Schizosaccharomyces pombe: one gene and its partners. The gene in region 1 interacts genetically with each later gene. Each region holds a gene or a part of one and is shown in the gene's direction. Other genes may lie near its edges. The genes, in order: cid12, clr3, ani1 and raf2.

What was found.
Region 2: mutations in cid12 (region 1) and clr3 together harm fitness more than expected from each alone (negative genetic interaction), as found in Schizosaccharomyces pombe (3 studies listed by BioGRID, with this or other methods).
Region 3: mutations in cid12 (region 1) and ani1 together harm fitness more than expected from each alone (negative genetic interaction), as found in Schizosaccharomyces pombe (2 studies listed by BioGRID).
Region 4: mutations in cid12 (region 1) and raf2 together harm fitness less than expected from each alone (positive genetic interaction), as found in Schizosaccharomyces pombe (2 studies listed by BioGRID).

Annotation. Positions count from the first base shown.
Region 1 is NC_003421.2:1,653,784-1,660,688, forward strand, and holds cid12 (poly(A) polymerase Cid12), read left to right. Parts: upstream 1-1,862; 5' UTR 1,863-1,885; coding exon 1,886-2,896; 3' UTR 2,897-3,298; coding exon of another isoform or gene 3,299-3,733; 3' UTR 3,734-3,847; coding exon of another isoform or gene 3,848-4,762; 3' UTR 4,763-4,851; coding exon of another isoform or gene 4,852-6,000; 3' UTR 6,001-6,297; downstream 6,298-6,905. Other genes in the region: splicing-associated factor Saf1, read left to right, coding at 93-929; NatA N-acetyltransferase subunit Naa50, read right to left, coding at 3,299-3,733; trp663 (TRP-like ion channel protein), read right to left, coding at 3,848-4,762, 4,852-6,000; SPOM_SPCC663.15C (uncharacterized protein), read right to left, coding at 6,499-6,905. UniProt on the Schizosaccharomyces pombe protein: Has a role in the RNA interference (RNAi) pathway which is important for heterochromatin formation and accurate chromosome segregation.
Region 2 is NC_003423.3:253,027-257,776, forward strand, and holds clr3 (class 2 histone deacetylase Clr3), read left to right. Parts: upstream 1-1,659; 5' UTR 1,660-1,795; coding exon 1,796-3,859; 3' UTR 3,860-4,112; downstream 4,113-4,750. Other genes in the region: cell cycle transcriptional repressor Whi5, read left to right, coding at 122-205, 284-958. UniProt on the Schizosaccharomyces pombe protein: Responsible for the deacetylation of lysine residues on the N-terminal part of the core histones (H2A, H2B, H3 and H4).
Region 3 is NC_003423.3:4,062,350-4,066,460, forward strand, and holds ani1 (FKBP-type peptidyl-prolyl cis-trans isomerase), read left to right. Parts: upstream 1-2,170; 5' UTR 2,171-2,207; coding exon 2,208-3,293; 3' UTR 3,294-3,611; downstream 3,612-4,111. Other genes in the region: deoxycytidyl transferase Rev1, read right to left, coding at 1-1,809; sporulation specific PIL domain protein Meu14, read left to right, coding at 3,945-4,026, 4,068-4,111. UniProt on the Schizosaccharomyces pombe protein: PPIase that acts as a histone chaperone. Histone proline isomerase that increases the rate of cis-trans isomerization at prolines on the histone H3 N-terminal tail. Proline isomerization influences H3 methylation thereby regulating gene expression.
Region 4 is NC_003421.2:498,892-503,543, forward strand, and holds raf2 (CLRC ubiquitin ligase complex subunit Raf2), read left to right. Parts: upstream 1-1,873; 5' UTR 1,874-1,967; coding exon 1,968-3,878; 3' UTR 3,879-3,989; downstream 3,990-4,652. Other genes in the region: kcs1 (inositol polyphosphate kinase), read right to left, coding at 1-875. UniProt on the Schizosaccharomyces pombe protein: Component of the Clr4 methyltransferase complex (ClrC) which contributes to the establishment of heterochromatin by specifically methylating histone H3 to form H3K9me.

The DNA of each region.
Region 1 (6,905 bases):
TACTATTCTTTGTCTATTTGCCTAAATATTTTATACATGTCACGTTTTTGATCACCACCATTCTAAACCCATACTATACTTGACTCTACAGAATGCTGTCAAAACGGGGATTAAATCCCGTTCAAGCGGAGAGCAGAAAGAAGAAAAAAAGAGAACAAATTAAAGTGCGAGAAGAAAGAGCAAAACGCCATGAAGAACGACTGTCGCATAGGAATATGAGCCAAATGGAACGCCAATTATCAGAGCTGACACAATTAGAATCTTCGCAAGCTTTAAATGCACATGACAAGCAATTATTACAAAATTTGCAAAGAGATATGGCAATTATGAAGAAGAAAAACATTCATGGACATAGAGTTGGGCGTGTTGAGTCAGACAAGACTAAGGAGGCAGAACGTCAACATAAACCTAGAAAGCCTTTTATCCCTAAAAACCCAAAACGAAGTATATATTATGATCCAATATTTAATCCTTACGGAGTTCCGCCGCCAGGAATGCCTTATCGTGAGAAGGAAGAACTAAGTTCAGAAACAGATGAATCCGTTATTGATATACCTTTACCTTCTGAAGAATATCCTTTTGAGGATCCAAAGCCAAGGGAAAAGAAAAATAAGAGCTTTAAGCCAAAGCACCACAAAAAGCAAGACATAAATGCAAGTTCAGCACAACCAAAATCCACTACTACGACAGAAGCTGCTGCAAATACGAAGGACATTGAAGAGGAAACTATGATTGAGTACTCAGCTCAGCCGGTAGTCAGAGATTTACGACAAGAAGCTGCTCAATTTTTACCTGCTGCGTTTCAACGACAAAAACTAGCCAAGGGGCAGAAAATTGGACAGCCAGACAGGGATGTATCGAGCCAAGTTCAGGAAGACAAGGATGAAGAAATAGATAATTTCTACAAAGAAATTGGCGGATATCTATAAAAAAGTCGTTAAAATTATGGAGATTGGAAGTAAGGATTACCAAATGGGTGTAGACGGAATTTTTAGTTAATAAACATGCATATTAATTTATATATAATATCTGTTTACTAGGTTCAATTTTAAAGGAGCTTGATTGCATCTCTGTACTTGTTTTTTTGTTTTATTCAATTATGAGTGAGCTTTCATAAGTTAATTCAAAGGCTTATTATTATGATGCGGTCAATAATTTCAAATTTTTGATGTCCAAAAAAAACAAAGGAGATTTTGTTTCTGTGTTATTGCATGATATTTATTAATGTTTTCTTGGTTCAATAATTCCTTATTATAGTCACTTTTACACTGCTTGAGCGAAAGGGGATTTCAAAAAAACACCTTATATTCATCTTTCCGTGATTATTTCAAGTTGACTGTTTTTTGTGAATTTGTCTTTTGCTAAATTATGATTGTTACACTTAGTCCTACACTGTTCATTACGAATCAGATTACCAAAAAGAAAGAAGTACATGACTAATTACTTGGATTAATTTTATTTTATTTTCATATGTATTTAGACGCCATGACAGTATTTACATGCGTAAACCAACGAATTCGTTTATCAAATAAAAATATCATAAAGGAAACCTTTAAAAATCGAAATACACATGCTTAAGTTAAAATTTGCACAATGAGAGATGAGGGAGTACTTATCTATCTTTTGCTTGCTTTTCTTGGGTTCATAATCTTTGGTTTTCGCTATAAATGCTGTATGAGACTAGGAAGCTTTTGCAGTCAATCATTCTATTATTTATAAAAACAAATAAGTTATTTATTGATTAAAAACTCGTGATACTTTTTTTTGCTATAAAATGATTTATTTACATATAATTACAAGGCACTCGCACGACCTCGTTATGTGCGAGGAGCCATGAAATTGAATCCATTGATATTAAAATTAGCCAAAATGCCATTTCTTAAGAATGGGTAAAGTCCTGTTAGAGCTGCATTCAGTACCATGGAATGAAGAAGGTTTGAGTGATAATGCTCGACTTTATTCATTTTTGGAGTTCGTAAGCCCGAAAATCGAGGAATTGAAGTACAGAAAGCTTTTGTTAGAGAAACTACAGACTCACATTAGGGAGGTCGTTTTGGATGCTGAACTTCAAGTATACGGTAGCATGTATATTGGAACAACATTATCTATAAGTGATGTAGACGTATCTTTGAAGTCACCTCGAGTTGGAGAATTGGAGAAACGACGCGTCACCATGGTTTTAAGAAAGTACTTGGATGCTGATGCTGATTTCCATTCTAGTGCCAGAGTCCCTCGCATCAATTTAGTAGATGTTAGTGGAATTGGGGTGGATTTGACGTTTGGAAATGACAAAGCTTGCAGAACTGCTGAATTGCAAAAAGCTTATAACGAAGAACACCCAATTTTTGGTAGATTGCTGATGCTATTGAAGCACTGGTTGTTTGAAAGAGATTTGGAAAACGTTCATCATGGCGGGATTGCAAGTTGCGCGCTCTCTTATATGCTAATTGGTTGGCTTGAAATGCGATTTCACAAAAAGGGAATTGATTCGGAAGTGCAACCAATTCGAGCTTTACTACAGAAATTCTTCTATTTTTGGGGAGTCGAATGGACATACGAACTTTTTGTATTGAGACCTTTAACCGGTCAAATAGTTCCTAAGCTACAAAAGGGCTGGTTAAACGAAGTGCAACCAAATTTGCTATCTATTGAAGATCCAATTGACAGAAATAACGACATTGGAAAGCAATCATTTCAAATTAGTATGATTAAAGCTGCATTTGTTGCTTCAGCTAATGAATTATTATCCGATAAGACATGGTTTAGCACCTTTGCAATTACGGAAGATGAAATGTTTTTGTGTAAACAGTTTGAAAATGTTATAAATACTAAACGAAGTTTGGTGGAGGGATATGATAGTGATACGGAATCAGATGAATTACAAGCTGGCGGATAACTGCGGGTTAATGCATTTAAAAAATAATGCTCGCTGTTTAAATAAACATTTGTTTTTCAATTCCTAAGTTGTCTTGCCGCATGTGGTAATGTTTCACTACAGTTCGTATGTACTTTACTCTTGTTTAATTGAATGGATTCATATTCTTATTATTGATAGGATATAAGAATCCTACAATTATCTTAGTCATTTTCAAGTCTTTTAATTTTACTTAGGCAAGGTTCGGCTGTTTCAAATGATATCACATTTTGTACCTATTGAAGGTGCTAACAAAATCTGTTCTTTAAAAATTTCAAAATTAAATCTATTTTATTCTTTTAAAATCTATCCAAGGATCCATGTTAGATTTTCAAGTCAATTTAATAATTGCATTTCACTTAGATTAATAAATGTGTGTGCAATCTATAGCTTTTTCGAAAGAAGGACGCTATCTTCTGTTTTGGAGCTCTCATCAATAATGAATCCCCGATGAATAAACCATTCGGATACATCGAGTTTAGGGCTTAATTTAATGTAAATTTCTTTGGCTTTTCCCTCAGCTGCAGTCTCGCAAGCATATTCCAACAGCTTGGTACCAATAGAACGGTTTCGATAGGCTGGCAAAACTGCCAAAGATAAAATTTGGATTTTGTGCGATTTATTATGTGTTTCTTTTTTGCATCTAACAGCTCCTACGCAGACCTGGTTAAAGTACGCATATTGTGCTAAAGGCCCGACTGAGATTGTGTCTTTGTAAAAGGAGGTTGGAAATATAATGATTTCAGGATCAAAACACTTTTCGTTAATAACTTCAAGGATTTTCAGATTATTAGGGTTAATCGCATCAAGTTCAATCATCTTTTTTATGCAAATGCAAATATCTTTTTCTATATGTACTTGGTGTTGTCAACTTTCAGTCTTTAAGGCATTCTAATGCAATAGTTTGAGTTGGAAACATCCACGATAAAATCTTTAAACAGTACGCTGCATTTCATTAATCCCGTTGTCACATGAATGTGAAGGTATTGTAGATGCTGGTCGCATAGGAGAAGCGTTAACAAGGCTGAAGACATCGTCATTTCCATCTTCCTTTGTGTCTACGTTTCCTTCTTTCTTTGTGGTAGAGGGCTCTTCAAAATTTGATTCTTGTGGGATAATCTCTTCGGTGGATAGCTTTTCACTTGCAGAAACCGCAGGATTCTCAAAGTCAATATGAAGTTGTCTTTGATATTCATCTATTAATCTTCTAAGCCAAGGGACTGTGTAGCTAATGGCTGGCCATGCTGTACCTAGCATAGTAATGAAGTTCCAAAGGCTCCACAGGGCCATAAATGAAAATACCAGCCCTTGTATAATGATAAGAATGATTGCAATGATCACTTTCGGAATGATTGCTAAATCAAATGCTATCGGTATGAGAAGAGCAAAGGAAACCACTCGGGTGAGAGCAACCAAAAAGACGCAAAAGGAATTTTTGAAACCAACAAAAGGCCGAAACACTGCTAGCAATATAAAAGAGATGATTTCAATAACAAATAGAAGTATAGTTTGAATCTTCGCAAACTGTTGTACTAACGCTAAAACCAATGCAAAACTAAAATAATGTGCAAAGCAGGCGTAAACATAGAGCCATCGCCGTTCTTTTAAATCCAAATATAACCATCCCCACCATGTGTATATTTTTGGATCGCTTATCAATGTTTCTGGATTGTCCTCGTTACTCAAGCCTGACGTTGTTATCACTCTTATGACTTTGATAGTTAACCAAAGGAAAAGCCCAAAAAGCAGTGCCAGAAGCAAAGCCGCCAATATTACAGGGCCATATGCTTCCCTAAGTGTAAACTGGTAAATTATCATAGTTACCAATACAGGCCAACAAACCAACACCTATATCAACCAGATTAGTATAAGTATAAAGCAAAAAAGTCGTTAAGAGCTATGTATGAACAACTCATTCCTTTGTTCAATTAACTTACCCATCTCATACAAGCATTAAAAAGTACTCTAAACCAATACCTTGTGATATAATCGCATGAAGATTTTGCGATTATACGTGTCTGACGAAGAAACTTAATAATAAGTACGAATATTATAACGATTCCTCCTGCTATGGCCAAAGAAATCAAAAACCATATTAAAGTGAGTGTAAATAAATTCGTTGTTAGCGTTCCAACTTCGGTGGCTAGGCCTTGAAACCCATGGTAAAATCCAGGAATCGGGCTTTGAGGGTTTGTTGCAACAGCATCTCTTCGATGGACTCCACCTATCTTTGGAGAACTTAGGTTTCCATTGGAATGCTTTCTAAAAGACTCAAGGCTGTTTTCTATCTCTTTATTGGTAATAAATCCTAGAATCCATGCAAAATTACTAGCCCATGCGACTAGCACTTTTGGCTGTGTAATTCCAATTGCTCCCGTGAAAGCTATACATTGAAGTAGCTCTCCCATGTGCTGCAAAGAAGGAACGGAATTGATGAAAACCTGACGTGTCAGATAGGTGCTATGCTCCATTCCAATTACATAAAAGCCTAAGACGCCTGCTATACTCAATGCCAAAGCAGTTCCACTTAGAGCTTTTACGACTTTATTTTTAAACGTATGACCATTATTAAGTGTCGCGATCATGCACGCAAGTGGTGTAGAATTATCGATGGATGACGCTGCGATGTCTTCTGAGCGATACATGCGAAAACGCACTAAGCCTTCAAAATCAGGAATTCCCCAGGCAATTTTTGGGATCATCTGAACATCTTGAGGGCTCACTGGAAGTATTCCCTGTGTGGTTATAGCTGTATCTCTTGCAACTGGGCACACAGTATTAAGATTTATTTCACAAGGGTCGAAAGTAAATCTTGCCCTCTGCTCTCCATAAGCTTCAACTATAATATCAAACGTAACATTTGCGTCCACAGATGAATATCCAAGAATATTAAAGACTACTGACAAGTTTCGTGTATAATAACTTGCATCAAACCGATTAAACACTATCGGGGCATTTGACATGCATTCTGCGTACTCGGCTGTTCCAAGTTTGTGATTTGGTCTCTTACTATATCTTACTCGACCTTCCACTGACGATAAGATATTACTTAAAACTGCAAAGTAAGCTAAGAGTATTAGCTTCATTTTCATTTTCCATTAACATCCCCCTTCCAGTTATGTAGAGGGTTTAACTTTGGAACGAATGCAAAAAAAATTAAAATGAACTTTCCTCAGAATTACCAAACTATCACGAATAACAAAAACATGCTACTGAACTCAAATGCCGTAATTTGACTGTAATGTTTACGAAATAGCAGTCGTATTTTTTAACAACCATAGCATTGAGTTAAATACAAGGATTAAATAAATAGTAATGAAACGATTGAAGCTTTAAGATTTTTACGAAAAAGAATACAGAACGTGGCTTCGTTTATTTAGTTACCACCATCTTAGCATTGTTCTTACGCTCACAATTTTACACTATGAAAAAAGCAATATAATGGTAAAGAATGTATCATTAGTAAAGAATAAAAAAAAGAAATGCATTTTCATTTCATTTGTAGTTGTGAGAAGAAATGATGGAATGTGCGAGCCTCACTTGATTTTATGTCATTATGTTTTGGACCTCAATTAGTAATAAAATTATTCTGTTGAAGTCATTTCTGAAGGCGTTTCTTGATTTTTCGCTTGTAATTCGTTGAGTTGCTCCATTAAAAGATTTCGAAAAGGAGTCAGCAGCTTCTCTTTAGTTCTATTTAATTTCATTCCACAATTTGGAAGTTGTGGCTGCGGTACTCCATGAGCTGTAGTGGGTGTAATAATTGCGGACCCAAAGAAGTTATAAAGATGTAAAAGCCATTCACTAGTACTATCTTTATTCTCAATAGCCTTCTTGCTTTCTTCATCAAGTTCCTTCACATAATCACCAATTTCTTCCAAAACTTGATGTTTTGTCTCTTCATCCAAGGTATTTAAAGCTTTATGGGCAACATCTACCGCATCAGGAGTCTTCACCTCAACACTAAATTGTTTTAAACAATGGCGATACC
Region 2 (4,750 bases), on another chromosome or scaffold:
AGGATTATTTGATTGCAATTGGATATTATAAAAGGAATTTATCGAAAGGAGAATTCGAATAGGCTAATAACTCGTCATTTTTATATACCTGCATACAGACGAACTCAACAAATATTAATTCATGGCAGGCGGCCACAAGAAAAATGAAGCTACAAGGCAGACTGATGAAGTTATTCAACAAAAATACGATGAATCATTAAGCAAGGTATGTCAATTACGCAAACACAATTAGGTAACATCTCGACGATACAAATAGAATCGTCGATGAATAATTTTGGTTTAGCATAAAAATCGTTGCGAATTGTCATTAACTTTTGAATACAAGTTATCAAACAAACTTAGGGCTCGTTTGAAGGCAGCGTTTTTTAAGGTCGATCATGGATGGGAAGATCAGACATTAGATCAAGTGGAAACGCTTGTTCGTAAGGAAAATCACGTTCATCGTAGATCACGCTCGATCAATGACTTGGACTCTTCTAAGCTAAGAAGGCCGCATCACCCCAACTCAATTATGGGATCGAATACAGGCAAGCTGCGTGCAAGTTCATTTACGCGATTGGTGAGCCCAAGAGAGGGCTTCGCTCAGCTTCCTTATAAGAAGCCTGTATCTCCTTACTCATCTTCTAGTGCTGTTTCTTCTACGTCCTCGTCTTTTGATAGAACTAGTCCTCCTTGGTTGAACTACGTTGAGCCTCATACTGAGCTACCCAGACTGCCATTTGAACTTAGCCATGCCTCCACTGCTTCAGCTAAATCTCCACTGTTCGGAATGAATTACCATATTTCACGCCCTGAAGAAACCGATGAGTCTCTTCGCCTTGGCACTGCAAACCTCAGTAGAATTCGCAAGTCCACGAGTCTTCCTTTTCCAACGGCTTATCCCCTATCGGCAGATGATTGCAAGGCAGCTGAAGTTATGCTTACGTTGGTGAATTCTATGCCTTCGAAAAAACCATAACATCCTTCATTTTAGATGGTATACGAGCATTAAGATATAAAATTACATAATTATTTCATGAGAGTTAATCTATAATTTGGATGAATAGATTGATTGTTCACATCCTGCTGAAGAATTTTTGGAAAAATCTCGTTTGAGAAGTTTTGTTATTTCTTGCTATCCGTCTCCAGTCCTATGGTTGATGAGCTATTAACCCTCTATATGTTTAAATGCTTGATATGTACAAGCCAAATTGTGATAATGCTTAATGATGTTTATGACAAAGGGTGAATGTTTCCGGGCGTACAACAGTCTTAAAGATCATAGAAACATTATTTACCATGTATTTATTAACGTTCTTCCTACATCTTGATCCTTATGATTTGAAATGATTATTATATAAGATAATGGAAATTCGCGAACTCGCAAAATTATGCATTCATTTCGAAGTATGGCTCGAGACAAAGCTATTTTTAAGTTTCTAAGAAAATAAAATAAATAAATAAATAAAAATAAGACCCTCCCATGAGCCTCATTACAAACTCTATTTTTTCTCAATCTCCATACGTTCAGGATCAATCTTCTATTTAAAGCCTTACTAAACGTCTTAATTACTTACATTTTTATTCTTTACCAAACAAACTCCTTTGTTAGCATGGTTGAGATTATATTCTCTCATTGCTCCTCTATACTTATGTCTTAGAAGTACCAGCAACAGTTTTGACGACCAAAACTACCTATATCGAGTGAGCCGCGCTTCAAAAAGTGTTTCGACAGTTTTATGAGGGAGTTGTTTAATAGGAGATTTTTTTATTAATTTATTAATTGATTGACCTTTTTAAGGGCGATAGAAAACGAATGCTGGCCTCTAATTCTGATGGTGCATCTACTTCTGTAAAACCATCCGATGATGCTGTAAACACGGTAACTCCATGGTCTATTCTTTTGACAAACAATAAACCAATGTCTGGAAGTGAAAATACATTAAATAACGAATCCCATGAAATGTCGCAAATCTTGAAAAAATCTGGATTATGCTATGATCCTCGAATGAGATTCCATGCCACTCTAAGTGAAGTGGATGACCATCCTGAAGATCCAAGACGCGTCCTTCGTGTTTTTGAAGCTATAAAGAAGGCCGGTTATGTATCTAATGTGCCGAGTCCGTCAGATGTATTTTTACGGATTCCGGCTAGAGAAGCTACTTTAGAAGAGTTATTACAAGTTCATTCACAGGAAATGTATGATAGGGTTACTAATACCGAAAAAATGTCTCATGAGGATTTGGCCAATCTCGAAAAAATCAGTGATTCTCTATACTATAATAACGAAAGTGCGTTTTGTGCTCGATTGGCTTGTGGTAGCGCAATTGAAACATGTACGGCTGTCGTAACTGGTCAAGTAAAAAATGCCTTCGCAGTTGTTCGCCCTCCTGGCCATCATGCAGAACCCCATAAACCTGGTGGCTTTTGTTTATTCAACAATGTTTCTGTAACCGCAAGGAGTATGCTACAACGCTTTCCGGATAAAATAAAAAGAGTATTGATTGTCGACTGGGATATACACCATGGAAATGGTACGCAAATGGCTTTTTATGACGATCCAAATGTTCTATACGTTTCTTTGCATCGATATGAAAATGGTCGTTTCTATCCTGGCACCAATTATGGGTGTGCAGAAAATTGTGGAGAGGGCCCGGGATTGGGTAGAACTGTAAATATTCCTTGGAGTTGTGCTGGCATGGGAGATGGTGATTATATATACGCTTTTCAGCGCGTCGTAATGCCTGTTGCTTATGAATTTGATCCAGATTTAGTTATTGTAAGTTGCGGCTTTGATGCTGCTGCAGGAGATCACATTGGTCAATTCTTGTTAACTCCAGCTGCCTATGCTCATATGACACAAATGTTAATGGGATTAGCAGATGGGAAAGTTTTTATCTCCCTTGAGGGAGGTTATAATTTGGATTCTATAAGCACATCAGCCTTAGCTGTAGCCCAAAGTTTGTTGGGAATTCCTCCTGGACGATTGCATACAACATATGCATGTCCACAGGCCGTTGCTACCATCAACCATGTAACCAAAATACAATCCCAATACTGGAGATGTATGAGGCCGAAACACTTCGACGCAAATCCTAAGGATGCCCATGTAGATCGATTACATGATGTTATTCGAACTTATCAAGCTAAAAAACTTTTCGAAGACTGGAAAATTACCAATATGCCAATACTAAGGGATTCCGTTTCCAATGTATTCAACAATCAAGTACTGTGCTCTAGCAATTTCTTTCAAAAAGATAACCTTCTCGTTATTGTCCATGAATCTCCTAGAGTCCTGGGTAATGGAACTAGTGAAACGAACGTTTTGAATTTAAATGATTCGCTTTTAGTAGATCCCGTGAGCCTTTATGTTGAATGGGCTATGCAACAGGACTGGGGGCTTATCGACATAAATATACCTGAAGTGGTTACGGACGGTGAAAATGCACCGGTTGACATTCTTTCTGAAGTGAAAGAACTTTGTCTTTATGTATGGGATAATTATGTTGAGTTGTCGATTTCAAAAAATATTTTTTTCATCGGTGGAGGCAAAGCGGTACATGGATTGGTTAATTTGGCATCTTCCAGGAATGTGTCAGACAGAGTTAAGTGTATGGTGAATTTCCTTGGCACTGAACCTTTGGTGGGTCTTAAAACGGCATCAGAGGAAGATCTTCCAACGTGGTATTATCGTCATTCACTCGTGTTTGTGAGTTCTAGTAATGAGTGCTGGAAAAAGGCAAAGCGTGCTAAAAGAAGATATGGACGACTTATGCAAAGTGAACATACTGAAACTTCGGACATGATGGAGCAACACTATCGAGCGGTTACTCAATACTTGCTGCATTTGCTTCAAAAGGCCCGACCAACTTCTCAGTAACATTCGTTATTGACTTATGATTTTTTCATGGTTTTCTATTCTTTTAATTGTCACACATTTAACCTCCTTAAGTTATCTACGTTAAAATTTATAACGGACATTCATGATTTGCCAAACCCGCTGAATGATTCGTACTCAATCTGCTAAGCTGCTTTGTCTCTTTTACTTATACTTTAATTCGAGCTCATTATTCTCAAGGTTGGTGGATTTTGACTTTATTTTCCAGTAGAATGTATACACAAATGGTTTATTGTTATTGCTGGCTTCATTTTATTCATGTTCAATATAATTAAATAAATAAGGTTATAATATTGTTTTATAAAATAAAGCTCCTCAAATCCGTGATATTATTTTAGTTCAAACAACTATTGTTGATTTTTGTCGTAATTTTGCTTAAAAGCATTTCTCTAAAGCTGAGGGAAATCCCTCATCCATTTTTTGTACCGCAAAAGGATAATATTATAGTATGTTGTTTAAATTGTAAAATTAGATTCATAGTACAAACAGCATTTAAATTGTTTTCTTATTCTCCAATATTAATAACTATATCACACAAAAAAATTGATTTGGTTGTATGGTGTAATGGTTAGCACGTGAGATTCTGATTCTCGAGACCTGGGTTCGATTCCCAGTACGACCTTCATGAATGATGGATGATTCTGTGATGTTCAACTTTTTTAACTAATCCAAATTGCATGAATGATAACCGGTCAACAGTAATTGTAAATGTAGCAACTTTACTATTAAGGAAGGCTGGCTTTTTTTTTTTTTAATAAAACGACTTGATCCTATATTATATATAGCACTAAACATTTGCGCAATAACTCACAAGTCAAGGTGTTAGCAACTGGTAGAAATCTTGTAATCTCCCTTGCCTAGAAGATTACTCTC
Region 3 (4,111 bases), on another chromosome or scaffold:
TAAGTCAAACGAATTAGTAGCAGAAGTAAAAGTTGAAGATTTTGTAAATGAAGTGACTTCCCCAGCTCCAAGGTACTTTGGTGGACTGAAAGGGGCTCCATCAGCCCTTTTCAAAATCCGAAGCTGAATTTGATGCAAAAGCACTTGGCATTTACCCATTCTGGAAAGCAACTCATGAAGCAACCGTTTTAAGAAATCTATCCCATCCTCTTGAAAAACGAAACGAACACCCCAATTAACATCTACGGATATGGACCTCCGTGGGGTTTCATTATTGATTATATCGGTATCAATTCCTCTGGAAATATTGTATAAATGCAGACCGTAATTTACCCCAAAAGTCTCTTGAAGATTGAATTTTTCAATTCTTTGCAGCTGCCCAATAGTACGCACACCGTACAAATTAAAAAGTTTCTGCGCTTGTGAAGAGCCCACCCCTGGTAAATCTTGAACAGACAAAGGACTCAATACATCAAAAACATTTTCTATTGACAAAGAATAAACGTTGTGAGGCTTCGCCTTCCTAAGTGCAAGTCTTGCTAAGAGAACATTTGGGCCAATACCAACGCTAACTTCGCAATTGGTTTTCTCGCGAACCTGCGAGCGGATAGACTCGGCAATCTCAAAGCAATCTTGAAAAGATGAAACACTAGAAGTTATATCTAGAAGAGCCTCGTCTATACTTATAACCTTAATATAGTCGTGAAGTGTATTAACAAGGATAGTGTAAAATTCTCTAGAAACAGATTCGTATGCTCCAAAATCATAATCAACAACCCGTAATGAAGGACACAGGTTTTTAGCTGTTCCAACGTACATACCATTTTTTATGCCAAACTTCCGAGCCTCATAATTACAACTAGCTATTTCGGAATTTTTTATACCATGAGCAACAGCAACGGGCTTCAGTCGTAGCTCATGAGAAAAGCGTGTTGAAACGGAAGCAAAAAAGCAATCAAAATCAACATGAAGAAGGAAACGAGATTTTTTTGATTTATCTTTCATAATTGGACGAACAGGTTCAGAAGCAGTAGTCATTGCTTGGATTTCATTTTTAAAATCAGCTTTCCAAGTACTTAAGTGATGTAAACGAGAGGAGCTAAAGAAATTCTCAAGAAAATCTTGATTTTGAGTGGTTGAATTTCGGACATTGGGATTTTTTAACAATTGATAGTTGTGCAGTGAAGACGCTGATAATCCACTCAAATCATCTAAAAATCCCTTTGCTTTACTCTCTTTTGTTTTATCTTTTTCATTATCATGTTCTTCTTCCTGCGAGCTTGTTTGAATATCTTCTAAGTTACCTTCGGGTTGGCTAGGTTTAGAGGCGACAAAAGAAAGGGTAGCTTGAGCCGATGAAGCTTGAAAGGTACGATAATTTATCCACGGAAGAATTTTCTTCTGTTTGATGCAATCCACTATCCATTCTGGTTTAACCACTTTCTGATGCTTCCATTGGCGAGCTTTGGAAGGAGTGAGAAATGAACACACCAAATATGATATGCTTGTTTTTCCATCAACATATTGTATAAAAGTACCTCCATTTGAAACTATCATTTGCCGTAATTCGGTATAAGACGGCTTTGTATATCCATTAATCGCTATTGCAAGTCCATGAAAGAGATCAGATTTAGAATCTTCATCAATACTTTTGTATAGAGCGGCATTTTGATTTTGAAGCTTTCTTTGTTTCCGGGAAAAATAATCTGCATAGTCGTGGAACCCAACACTTTCGTATGCCTCATCGTTTGCTTCGTCAAAGTCTGCAATCCCTACTGGGCGTCGACGCTTCCTTTGATTAAAAGCCATCCAGCGCGCTTCTCACTTTCAGTAAATATAAGTATTAATATGTTTCTGAAAGGAAAATAATACAAATAATAATGTAGCCACTTAAGCGGAAAAAGTGTAATTAATAAACAAACAATGTTTATAAAGAAAAACTAACTGCAAGAGCTTTTTTCTTTCATTATTTAACCTTATCCCAAAACTCGTGAAGCCAAACTATTTCAAAGTAAAAAACAACGAAATATCAAAAATAATTACTACGCGTTTGTTGTGATGCACGCTCGTCCAAATTTAATTAATTTTGAGTATAATTTGCAAATCGCGGTAATACGCACTACCCTTACTTAATGGAATACACAACGGTTTATGTATCAAAATTTTTTACATCCTCTACCACCTCACCTCTTAGGCAAGAATAAGTCATGTCTCTTCCAATTGCTGTTTATAGTCTTTCGGTAAAGGGAAAAGATGTTCCCGCTGTGGAGGAATCTACAGATGCATCTATTCATTTGACTATGGCATCCATTGATGCCGGCGAAAAGTCTAATAAACCAACTACTTTATTGGTGAAGGTTCGTCCCCGTATCCCCGTTGAAGATGAAGATGACGAAGAACTTGACGAACAAATGCAAGAGCTTCTGGAAGAAAGCCAGCGTGAATTTGTTTTATGTACTTTGAAGCCTGGTTCCTTATACCAACAGCCTTTAAATTTGACCATTACTCCTGGCGACGAAGTCTTCTTCAGTGCATCTGGCGATGCAACCATCCACTTGTCTGGTAACTTTTTGGTTGACGAAGAAGATGAGGAAGAGGAAGAATCTGACGAGGATTACGATTTGTCTCCTACTGAGGAGGATCTTGTCGAGACTGTCAGCGGTGATGAGGAAAGTGAAGAGGAATCTGAGTCGGAAGATAATTCAGCATCTGAGGAGGATGAATTGGATTCAGCTCCTGCTAAAAAGGCACAGGTTAAAAAAAAACGTACTAAGGATGAATCCGAGCAAGAAGAGGCTGCTTCTCCTAAGAAAAACAATACCAAGAAGCAAAAGGTTGAGGGTACCCCTGTTAAGGAAAAGAAGGTTGCATTTGCCGAAAAACTTGAACAAGGACCTACTGGTCCCGCTGCTAAGAAAGAAAAGCAACAAGCTTCTTCTAATGCACCTTCTAGTCCCAAGACTCGTACTTTAAAAGGAGGCGTGGTTGTAACTGATGTTAAAACTGGGAGCGGTGCGTCTGCTACCAATGGGAAAAAAGTTGAAATGAGATATATTGGGAAGCTCGAAAATGGAAAGGTTTTTGACAAAAACACTAAAGGTAAACCCTTTGCTTTTATCCTTGGTCGTGGTGAGGTTATTCGCGGGTGGGACGTCGGCGTTGCTGGAATGCAAGAAGGCGGTGAGCGTAAGATTACAATTCCTGCTCCCATGGCTTACGGCAACCAGAGCATTCCAGGAATTCCCAAGAATTCTACCTTAGTTTTTGAAGTCAAGCTTGTTCGCGTTCACTAAATTTTCATGTTGAAGATGAACATACTTTAACTCCCGTGTTTAAGAAGATCGCGGATTAAACTATGTATTCTATTAACTCTTTTTATCGCCTATCTTTTTCTTAGGTTTCAAAAAAAATCAGGGTATCATTTTGTATTTGAGTTAGGAAATTTTTTTTTAGTTAAGTGTTACAAACACTTTGGATATAGGACTTTTGGATGATTTGGATTGTTGGGTGATAAAGGAGATATAATCAATATACAATTTTTTAGAAAGAGCTGTTTGTATGTGTATGAGCATTAAGAGAAAAGAGAATAGCGCTTCCTTGATCGATACTAGTTAAGGATGTTTAAATTATGGAATTTTGAGTTTGAGTAAATATAAACGAGAACATTCCGAAAAACTCTATTAAAAGTAAAAAAAAACATATTGATAATAAAAGAGCCATTATCTGATTATCGCTAAATAAGTCTACAAACAGCTGTTTGTTTACGAAATTCTTAAAATTAATTATCGTAATAATCAACTTAAAAAAAAACAAGCAGTTTTAGAATTTAAAGAATTATTTTTATTATTTGTCTTTTTTCTATATTGTTTATTTGAAAATTGTGCTTCTGTTTACAGGCAAATCTTAAGGCGGGCATATATTTTTCTGAAACGTAAACAATCAACATGCCCAAATCAAGCAACTTGAAAATGCAGAGAAAAGGCTCTTTAAGAGAAAACGGTCTCGTGAAGGGTTTAAATAAAAATAGTAAGATATAAATTGGTGTGATAAATAAGTTAATGACATAGAATTTTCGATCAGCAAGTTAAAAGAACTATCTCATGCAGATGAC
Region 4 (4,652 bases), 1.2 Mb from region 1:
GATGAGACAGATGATACAGATGATCGCGGGGTGGATGCAGGACTTTGATAAGAACGGGATACCGACCTTTCAAGCTCAAACGAAGCATCAGGTAGTAAAGGGAGGTGTTGAGATGACTTTTTAGAAGGATTATGTGGTATGTAGGTGGCTGTGGTTTTAGAACTACCACTATCTTTTCTTCGTTTAGGAGCTGAGCTCCGACCACGAGATGATCTTCGACTTAGTGATGTATCTTTTTCGGAAATAACTTCATCTAAATCATGCTGAGCACCAACACTTGGTGATCCAGATTTGGAGAGCCTTTCAGAAACAGATTCAAGAGGACTCGACACGTTGTGCAAAGCAGTATTAGTACTGTTACCGGTTTCTAAGTTATTGGAGGTAGAAGACTCAAAGAGACGTAATGACCTGCTTGCCTTTCGAGACGGATGAGCAGAATGAGCACTTGCCATATCATCAGCTTCAGAAACGGCTGAAGACTGCAGCACCGGTACTGGTGATTCAGCAACTGAATAAGAGGAACCACCTAATTGCAAGTCAGCTAGACTCTTGTGAATTGAATCACTCATATATTCAACAGGGGTGTGTGTTCTCAAAGGGGTTTGTTCTTGTGAATTACTTCTTGTTAAAATTAAGCGAGGGACATCTTCCAAGCTCGTAGTTCGAGGGTCTACAGCAGATGAATAGTTACTTAGCCTTCTAGGCGATAAACTGTCTAATGACTTAGGACCTATGGATTCAGAATGCATAGTAAAATTATTGTTATCTTCTGATTCATCGTACAAGCATTTTAACGTTTCAGGACCTCGATCATGAAAATTCACGTCTCTGCCTTTACGTGAATTCGGCAGGTAACACTTTGGTGCGTTCTGCATAAATTCATAAGTTTATCTCTATTAAATTAATATTTTTCCTTAATTCCCCTTCAATTCCTCCAATTTGTCCGATTTTTATTAGTTTACCTTTCGCAGAGACCCGCTTTGGTTCTTGGCAAGTTTCTTACTTTGCTCTAGCTTACAGTATAATGAGGCGTATAGTGAAACTACTTAAATTCATTATTGTCAGCAATACTACACTACGCTATGATACACTACGTTGCGTATCACTATATGTCATATGTTGGAATACTAGCTAAGATCCGTTTATTGATAATCACGGGTAACTATCCGTCTATATACGTAGATACCCGTTGATAACAACTATTTAGAAATATTATAAATAGCGTTACAACTGAACTGAGGAACGAGGTTCAGTTATGAGCTATATTAGTGATAGGTAACATTATAACCCAGTTAATACAATACCTATACTCAGTTGCTACTTATACAACCTGCGTATTGTAATATAATAGATCACAAGGAAAACTCACCGCAGTTCTACGTATCCTTAAATCAGATACCAAACTGCGTAGCTTACAATTATTCTACTCTAAAGATCCACATAATAATACACCGTATCTGTCATTAAATTACGCATTGTGTCAGCTATGCAATCATTAAAACACTTAATGATACTTTAGAACTGCGGTGGGTTTTCCTAATATAAAAAATAATGTTAAATAAAATTCTGTTTTCTATACAATAATAAATATATCAAAATATTAAGAGATATCGTATAGTATTATATGTGCACTAAAATAGTTTACAATCAGCTGAGGAGTACAAATCAAACTTCATCAATATTTTTCTAATTAAAGAATAAGTACTTTAGAAGCAACGTATGTTCACGGCCGAAAGAAATGTTGGTAAAACACAATTATAGGTATAGTGATTGTTAACGTATCGTAAGTATAACGCACTAGACGTTAATTATATATTTGTGCAGTACAATGGATACCCTTCTCTTAAATTTCAGAAGCAGAGATCAGAAATTTAACACCAATGTTTACCTCAAAAATATGCCGTCTATAGTAATAGGCAATATTACTTCGAAGAGTATTGTTTTTGGGGAAAAGGAAAAAGCTAGCGATGCCGCCCGTACGTGCTGAAAAAAAGCGGAAAACTGATTTGATTGAACAAGTTTGCGTTACAAATAAAGCAGGGGAATTAGTAGATTTAGAGGACGTTCTAGAATATGGCCCTTATTCATTAACAGGAATTTTATCTTCTGAAAAGGATGAGCAAGAACCATTGTTTGATGAGAGCATTGTTCTGGGATACTCGATAAAAATATCGCCTGTTTGGACATACAATCTAAAAGACGTTCCTGAGAAAGAAACTATGAGCATATGGATCGTTACACCTCAAAGAAGATACGGAATTTTGTCTCCTTCTTCTGAGTATAAAGCCATTTACGAACAGATCAGCGAGAAGAATCGATTGTTTTACCTTATTAAGACAAAATTCAAAGATGATATGATATCTGGTACGTTAGAAGATTACGATAATTATATCGAAGTTTTAAAGGAAAAGCTAGAGCTTCCTTCTTGTTTTCAAGCAATTCTCTTAGTGCAAAAACATATTCGCTTTCTGTTAACCCAAATGGTTGCGACTTCTTCATTACATGTATGGTCTGAATCACCTTTTTTTATAAGAATTCGATCTTCATACGAACATCTGATTTTACAAATTAATAAAAACATTTACAATGCTCGTCAAGAGCGAAAGAAATCAAAGTTATCGTCAAACAATCCATCGGACAATAATACTACTATGAAAAGCTCTTTAAACCAAGCTCTTACTTTAATTAATTTACCCGAGCAACCGTTTAGCATTTCCTCTCCCACAGCAACACCACAACTAGGAGTTGTAAAAAGAACTTCTCCATTACGGTTTCCTTTGAATGATATTTGGCTTTCCGGTTTAAGGATTGTTGATCCAAATATTGAATCGATATCATTATGGAAAAGAATACAAGTTTCAACCTCTCCGAAGCATCAACGTTATATTAGCCTTCAAGAAGTTTGCAGCGTTATTGCTCAACAGCTACAAATAACAAATTTGGAAGCTTTGAATAAACTTTCTTCCCACGGCGAAACCCTTTTGCAAATTATGCATACTGCTTTCACGTGGAGAGGTACTAAGCTTTTTAATGATATTAAGCACGCAATTGGTTTTAGATCTTCTGTTCAACAAGCACGATCTCAATTCCGTGGATATTGTTATGATTATTTATTCATGCATTGTAACAATGGAGAAAAAACAAGTCTACATCTCTTGAGGACTCTAATATGCATGAAACTAGATTTCTCAAATGCTCAATTGGCGGCCAAGATATTATTTCATTTCTTGTTATTTGATATTGGATCAGGCCTTTCTGGCTCAGATTATACATATGAACAATACATTAATCACTCAGCTGTCGCTTTCAGTTTTACGGAGGAAATTTTTGAAAAAAATTTTGTTACAGTTCTTCCTGACTTTGTTAAACTTTTTTCTATTTCTTTTGGTTATTGGCCTGCATTCAGCTTCTATGATGAATTATTGAAATTACTTCGCAACAAATATCCCAAAGTATATTCATCAACTCCAAATTTATGCGATCAGGTATGGCTGGATCGAACAAATTTATTCCCTTGTAATAGGTCAACGAGGTCGACTTTACCGTATAGACCTACAAAACTGCTCGATTTAGCTTCCGCATCTTCCTGCTTATCCAAAAAGGAAACAGATTTTAAACAAGACACTGGATTATATTCATATAACTTGGAGAAAGTTGAGGCTTTAAAAGTTAGTCCGGATTTACAGACTGGTATTTGGTCATGTCCAGTACAAAATTGTTTGTATTTTGCTGTTTGTGACAACCCGTATAAACCTTCTCAGGTCATTTACGATCATCTTTTAGGACATGTAGATTCCAAGTTTATATTTAAAACTCCTTCGAACAGTGTCCGATCGTTTACAAATAAACTTGAACACATAATGTACAACATAAATTAATGATAGATATGATGATTTTTACTAGTAATTAACAAAAGACACACTGCATTAAAGTTAATATATAGTATGTTTATAAAGGATTACAATTTTACATGGCTAATGTCAAATACACTTTACTTTACAAATATCATGTGTTCATAAACAATTTCAAAAACACATTTTGTAACAACAATTTGATACGCTTATAAATGTGCCTATTAAAGTGTACAAATAGCTGAATTATTTGTCAAATGTAATATAGGACGATCAAACAAAATCAAACACCAACCCTTTACAATTGTAAAGTTAATGGCCGTTCAAAATACCAGAACCCATTTTTGATAATAACTGAGACCAAGCGATAAAATAAAAACAGAGGAATGTAAACGCCAAGAACTACTAAATGTTCATGCGTAAGGAAAACGAGCAAAAAACGAGTATTTATTTTAGAAAAGAGCAATACTATTAAAAAATTGTTCCAGAAAATACGGACCATACGCGACGATTACCCATCTTTTTGGTTTTGTAAACGTAAATAGAATCATCTAATCATGAATCAGTAGGAGCAAACATGAGTATGATGAGGCTCACTTCTTTGACATAAAAAAATTAATGTGATAGGATAATATCCTAAATTCGATCCCACTCATAGATAGAAGAAAGTGTAATTTCAACTCTAATACAAGAATGGAGCCAAAGTAAACAAAGGAATGTACAAATAGGCAAGATCCTGTGAAAGAAAAGTACCTGTAAAATAAGGATTTTATGATATAAAAGGACAAGGTTGACAAATTA